Danio rerio: one gene and its partner. The protein of the gene in region 1 interacts with the protein of each later gene in a biochemical or structural test. Links are inferred from orthologs where the notes say so. Each region holds a gene or a part of one and is shown in the gene's direction. Other genes may lie near its edges.

The links.
Region 2: the proteins of Na(+)/H(+) exchange regulatory cofactor NHE-RF2 (region 1) and prkcaa form a complex in vitro, tested with the Homo sapiens proteins (2 studies listed by BioGRID and IntAct, with this or other methods). The link is inferred for Danio rerio from reciprocal best matches to the Homo sapiens genes NHERF2 and PRKCA.

The regions. Positions count from the first base shown.
Region 1 is NC_133178.1:11,799,352-11,802,951, forward strand, and holds the start of Na(+)/H(+) exchange regulatory cofactor NHE-RF2, read left to right. Parts: upstream 1-1,064; 5' UTR 1,065-1,385; coding exon 1,386-1,592; intron 1,593-3,600.
Region 2 is NC_133181.1:19,846,738-19,850,583, forward strand, and holds the end of prkcaa (protein kinase C, alpha, a), read left to right. Parts: intron 1-3,356; coding exon 3,357-3,521; downstream 3,522-3,846. UniProt on the Homo sapiens protein: Calcium-activated, phospholipid- and diacylglycerol (DAG)-dependent serine/threonine-protein kinase that is involved in positive and negative regulation of cell proliferation, apoptosis, differentiation, migration and adhesion, tumorigenesis, cardiac hypertrophy, angiogenesis, platelet function and inflammation, by directly phosphorylating targets such as RAF1, BCL2, CSPG4, TNNT2/CTNT, or activating signaling cascade involving MAPK1/3 (ERK1/2) and RAP1GAP.

The DNA.
Region 1 (3,600 bases):
AATAACCTACAGTTTTCAAAAATATTAAAATAGAAAAATACAAAACTATTAAAAGAATACAGCTGTTCTGTGTCAGTTAAATCAGTTGACTGTTGAAATTAAAAATTTTAACCCAACTGGTTGAGTTATTAATGTAGATAACCAAATAAAAATATATATCCAAATAAAATAAATAACCAAATAAAGGTTAAACATGACCAAACAAAGGACCAAATATTTAACACAACTGGTTAAGTTATTATATATATATATATATATATATATATATATATATATATATATATATATATATATATATATATATATATATATATATACGTGTGTGTGTGTGTGTAATATCTACATTTACATAAATATTTACAGTTGAAGTCAGAATTATTAGCCCCCCTTTGAATTTTTCTTTTTTTTTTGTTGTCTTTTTAAAATATTTCCCAAATGATGTTTAAGAGAGCGAGGAAATTTTCACAGTATGTCAGATAATATTTTTTCTTCTGGAGAAAGTCTTGTTTGTTTTATGTCGGCCAGAATAAAAGCAGTTTTTAATTTTTTTAAAACCATTTGAAGGTCAAAATTATTAGCCCCTTTAAGCTATATTTTTTCTCGATAGTCTACAGAACAAACCACTGTTATACAATGACTTGCCTAATTACCCCAACTTAATTAGTTAAGCCTTTAAATGTCACTAAGCTGTATAGAAGTGTCTTGAAAAATATCCAGTCAAATATTTTTTACTGTCATCATGGCAAAGATTGGGGGATAGGGCTAATAATTCTGTTTATATGCATGGGTACTGCATGTATGTGCATATATATTTTTTCCCATTTAGTTTTTACCAGTTGTTCATAAAAATTATGTAAAAAAATAAACATACATGATTCCTTAATCAATAACTGCTATTTGACATTGTTTACATACATTAATGAGGGTCAAATAAGCCTCTTTCTCTGCTCATCTGTATTGTCGCTTATTTATGGGCGGTCTTTTTTCACGCCACGCAGTTTCTCAGTGGACAGCATTTCTCTCTCTCTCTCTCTCTCTCTCTCTCTCTCTCTCTCTCTGTGGGCAGAATGTCTCATGGAGGAGTTTTGGATGCGTCTGTGAACATCCACAGGTAGTTGCACAGTCTGCTTTTAGCGCTATCACTTTTGCATGTAATTCCTCGCGAGCGCTTTTGGACACGAGAGTCTTCTGCCTTCATATCTGTTTTAATTGTTGCATGCGCGTTATTGTAAACACATCGGCATACGGCAGCGATGCGCGTTTATAAACCTTTGCGAATGCATTTTACGTAAGTTTCCGCTTTATTTATTTATTTTTCTTTGCTTGGGAAATCGCGCATGGATTGTGTTGCAAGTTTGTGAATGTGAAGGCAACGGCGGAATACAATGGCAAGCGATTTGAAGCCTCGCTTGTGCGTAATGAAGAAAGGAGAGAACGGCTATGGGTTTCATCTGCACGGAGAGAAAGGAAAAACCGGACAGTACATACGGAAAGTGGAACGCGCGTCCCCGGCGGAGGCGTCGGGACTGCGCGCGGGTGACCGTGTGGTGGAGGTGAACGGCGAGAACGTGGAGAGAGAGACACACCATCAGGTACATCAACACACACACACACACACACACCTGAGCTGCTGGTCTCAAATATTCAGCACACATTATACTGGATCCTAATGCAGGATCGTATTATTATGCATTTTATTGCTTATAACAACAACATGTGTGTTAAAACAAGTGCTTGAAGATAATTAGATTAGGATGTATCTCCATATGGAAGCAGAAAGAGCTTTATTGCCACTGCCAGGTAAGATTTTACATACAAGGAGTTTGCTTTTGTGACAGAAGAGTGTATCAAAATGGCAGTGACAGGACAAAAACACTGATAATAAAGGAATTAAATAAGTAAATAGAGAAAACAAATGCATATTACATTAGGCAATAATGTGTGTAAAGCTATATTATGTGCAAATTGACATGTAAACTGAGTATGTTGTTAAATAAATGTGTACATATGTCGGTAAATAGTTTTGTTCCATTCTACAGGGTGTCCGTGGGGGTCTTAAAATGTCTCAAAATCCAAACTTTTAGGCCCTAAATTCACTGAAACATTGTATTGTAAGTCCTAAATCATGTTAAACAGGTCTTAATTTTCCTGTATTCATGTAAACCTGCCCAATCAGACCAACATCCTTCAATCCTTCCATCTCAATAAAAGTTTTAACAAAAGTTTATTTAAAAGGCACCTATTTTACCCCTTTTTCAAGATTTAAGAGAAGTCTTTTGTGTCTCCAGAGTCTGTCTGTAACGTTTCAGCTCAAAACACTTCTGATTATTTATGAGACCTTTCAGACTATTGGGACTGTCCGCTCTGAACACTATGTAGTAGGGTTGGGCCGATAGATGATGCCGTTGTCCATCGCTGATGGCCAATAGACAACACGATTGCCCTCGTCGCAAATCCGCTCGCGATAAACACACACTTAGGCCCTGTTTACATTAATACGTCTTAGTGTTAAAATGGCATTTTAGAACGAAAATGATCCACATCCACACCGTGTTTTACCCAGCATTTCTGAACAGCCCTCCGTCCGCTGAAAACACACACAGACAGCCACACACACACACACACTATCATGCGCTCGTTTGAGCTTCAGTGAGCAGAGCATGTCAGACAGTTTATGAAGGATGTACCGCTGGATTGCGTCTCACTGTAGTTGTTAAACGTGATATTTAGACATCCCAAGTCTCCCGGAAGTTCCGGGAGTCTCCCACAACTGCTTTGAGACTCTCGGATCCCTCCTCGCTCTTCACACACATCGCGCACACTCTGTCAAACTCCGTCTCTGTCCCCAAACCCCAACCCCCCGCTTTTCACAAACATATATAACCGGACAACCCTACCCCCCCGATGATGCCATTACGATGGCAAATTGTCAGTGTCCTCATCTCTGGCTTTGTCAGATAAACAGCACAGTTACAGATATGAAGGAAGCAGACCTCACGTAAGGTTTGTGAGAAACACTACAGTAAGAACTTTCCCAATGATTATTGGATGTATTTGTTGTGGAGTTAATTCAAGCCTTTCTGCAACAACGAGTCACACACAGTGTCCTTACAAAGTTCACACACAGACACACACACACACAGCTCACGCGTTTAACTTTGCTCTGTTTTTGCACGCAAATGTGACAGGGTACATGCTAATATCCACTGCTGTATAGCTGATATCCGTTATGTTAATGTACAAAATAAAGCTTATTTAACGTCCACAAACCGGGATTGAAGCGCCTTCTTTTACAATTGTACTGATATGCGGCTGCGGTGATGAATTAATGCGATTTTACCATCTTTAACCTACTTTATTACAAACATGCACTGTTTTAAAAACGTTTTAAACTTGTAAAACTTATTCTTTATCATATTTGATGATGACTGATGATCACAGAGAGCTGAACAGATCTTTTAATCCCAGTTGCTTTGCGCACGTCCTGTCTTGTTGATATGATTAAACGCATTACTATGGATGTTAATTCACGGCTGTCAGTCAATTCTGTGGACGGGGAAACCTCACTCCTATGTCACGTTGTGGTCGGCCTCAAAATGG
Region 2 (3,846 bases), on another chromosome or scaffold:
CCTATACTGACACGGTGGAAGAGAAATGTTGAGTAAAGTTATTTTTCTTATATGCGCTCATAAAGCATTCTCATTGATAATATGATAATATTATCTTAATAGATTGATAATAGTTGTATTGAACTACAAAAAATACAGTACATGGATTGTTTTGGGTATTTTTCTGGATGTTGAACTGTTGCTATCAACATTATGGGGGATCAGGGAGTTCTCAGATATCCTCTAAAAAAGCGTAGTTTGTTTTCCAAGGATGAATGAAGGTCTCAGGCGGTTGGAACGACATGAGAAAATAATAATTATTGACTATTTAATTTTTTTGGTGAACTAACCCATTAAGTAGCACTGAATACATAGAGCTGGGAAAATAAGTATTGAACACATCGTCATTTTTTTTTTCAAAATACATATTGCTAAACGTGCTGTTGATTTAGATTTTTTCTCAGATGTTGGTACCATCCAAAGAAATCCATATATTAAGTTTTGCATAATAAAATGAAATATAATAGTATACTGCCCTTCATCACTGTATATTATTATTAGTTGATTCAGTCCATCATCTACATTACCCGGATGATGAAGATGAAACCAGGGTGGACATTCCGTCACGACATTGATCCCAAACACAGCCAAGGAAACTCTCAAATGGTTTCAGAGAAAGAAAATCAAGCTCTAGAAGGCCCCAGCCAATCACCTGACTTAAATCTAATATAAAATACAAATTAAAGATCAGATTTGGAAGACGAGACCCACAGAACCATCAGGATTTTTACACTTTGTTGAAAACTCACACCTGAACTATTCATGTGACTTCATTCTCCATATGAGAGGCATCTTTAATCTTAAAAAAAAACTTTTATATAAAGTAGTAAATACATTTGAATACATTTCTTTTATTGTGTCATTTCATTGTTATAACACAACTCGTTTTTCAGATTTTTTTTTTTACAGGTATGTTTGTATTGTTTGGTTTTTTACCAAAATTAGGTTGAATTCCATGTCATCAGCTACTTTAGAAATATTACTTGTTCAGTACTTATTTTCCCCGCTGTACATTGTATAAGGGAATGAACTAAATAGCAATTAAGTGTCAGGTATTAATGTAATGACTAACTAACTAGGTTATGTGTCAGGTATTTAGAGAGTCAAATTTGCGATATTATCATAGAAAACAGAAGGAATGAAAGCTCCCCATTGATTCTAAAGAATCTAACAAATAAATACTATTTCATATTACATTCACACTTAGTTTAACTAATCATGGGCAAAGGTACTGTCATGTTTGGCTTCCACAGCTGTGTCCTCCAAACCAGTTGAGCAATGCATCATCCAGATGAAGAGGAAGTAGGGCATATAATCTGAAATCTGAGGAGTGTTAATCTGTGCATTGGACATGAAGCAATTGGGAACAGAAGAATAAATATAACATTGCATATTTCCTACATACTAAACACTTAAAAGTATCTTTTTTCCAACCACAGACAAATCAGTAAGTATATGGACCCTTTTTACAAGCCTGTTATGATGTGTTTAGCAGTCATCAGCATCTAAATCCTTGAAAGTTTTTAAAGAGCCCCTATTATGCATTAAATAGGGTATTGTTAGTTTTGGGGGGTCTCCAACAACAGGCTGATATGCATGCAAGGTCAAACAGCACTTCCATTGTCTTATAATATGCATTTATTTTGACCTAATAATCCCATTCGTTCAGCGATTCATTTGTTCCCAAACCCCTCTTTAGCGCAAAGCTAATCTGCGCTGATTGGTCCGATGACCAGTCTGTTGTGATTGGTCAACTGCGTTCAGAGCGAAACAGAGAGAAACACCCACCACAGTTATTAACAATTTTGAGGTAACGTAGAGTGCAGATAGAATGTATGAACCCAGTTCTGGAGTGCATTAAAGCAATGCAGTTTAACACCAGCATATTGCTCTATTCATAACCATAAATAAAAACAGTGACACACATTCAATATTAATCCACACAGTGGCAAAAGCTGAACTATTTTGAAACTTGACCGCCACATGTATGTAAGAACCGCTGACGGTGGCAACGACAAACGGCAGTAGATTGCGAGCTCACAAACTAGTTTAAATCTGTCAACAAAGCGGCACGAATCACGTTTTAAATGTGGTTTAGACATGATATAAGATTATAAAGAGTTAACCAGATACACTACAAGTGGTTACAAGTAACAAAACACAATTAAATACATAATTTGCTAGCTAGAGAAAACAAGGGGGCAACCATTTTAATCACACTTACTTACACTTGTGAAATGGAAAAAGAAACTGGTCCATGAACTGTGTACTGTAAAGTTCATATCAAGCTCTGACAAAGTCCCATACATCAGTAGTCTTTTCTAGTCCTTCCTTTAACAAACGGCCTAGGAATCCCCCGTTGTAAGAGTGTAGATTGCTAAAGCACTTGTCAGAAAAATGACGAGAACACAGCACAAAGCTGGGGCTACAATGCTGAGGTATTTTTACAAAAATCAACTTCAACTACTGACTCTTCAAAGCCTCTTCACATGTTTGGGTAGAGAAAATAACGCTAACCCTCACACTTCAGAGCACAGCATCTTCGAGACATGATTCATTCGGGATCTGCTATAGTGTTTGTGGGTGGGGCCGGGTGTTTAAATTTTCCTGGGTCTGCATGGGCGGGGCTTGAGTTCGGTATCGACGTCACGTCAACATGGCTAAAGACTCATTACCGGATCGATTCATTCAAACTACTACGAGTCTACTCTTTTATAGATGAATCAATAGTTTTGAACACTGTGCACTTTAAAATTTAAGCCTTAGCTGGTTATTTCACTTCACTTAGAGCTCTGTTACATACTGCATTGAAGATCATTTTCAAAAACCCATAATAGAGGCTTTTTAATATTTAGATTTTTTTTTTAAGGTATGAACATTTATATGTATTTATGTGTGCATTATATTATCTTTGCTTCACATTACAAAAAACAAATTACCGCTTGTGCGAGTTGTTTCTAATGCAGCATCTATGGTGCAGGAAAATAAATTTGATGTTGTTCTCTCCTTTGGCTTCGGTCATCAGTCCTTTTTCTAAGCATCTATACAAAATAATTGAGGGGTTTTTTTTTCTTTTATTATTTGAGCAAATAAGAAAAAGATTATTTGTTGTGCCCTCCCATTCACTGGGCTCTAAGTTTTCCCTTCTGCTACTGAGAAATCTGAAAATGTGAAAAGGGTCTATTGTGCAATATCTAAATTGCCAGCTTTTATCTATGTGATCTGTGCTTAAAAAAATTATATTTTCTGTGTGTAATCCTATTGTATGTTACAGATTTGTCAAACAATATTATTTCATTTTCTTTTTTGTTTTATAGTGTGGAAAGGGGGCAGAAAACTTTGACAAGTTCTTCACTCGCACACAGCCACAACTGACCCCTCCTGACGAGCTGGTTATTGCCAACATCGACCAGGCTGATTTCGATGGATTTACCTTCGTCAATCCTCAATTTGTCCATCCCTCCCTTGTCAACACTGAATAAAAAAGGGGAAAGAAACAGCGAATGAATGTGAATCTACCTACTACCCCAAAACTCTACCCATACCTTTACCCTTTTGTGTCAAAAACTTTAAACCAAAACCACAATTATCTCAAACTATGTTTTATTTTTGGTTAAAATCATTTTTTGTCCCATTTTTCACGTCATTTCAGTGTAGGCCAGTCGAAGAGTTTACCTTAGTGGTTGAAAAGAGATTGAGAGATTCTTTTTTTAAATCAGACTTATACTTAACCTCTAGTTAGGAAGGGCTGTTTACTTCTTAAACTGGCTGCGTGATTTTTGTCCACACTGATTTTTAAAGACTAGG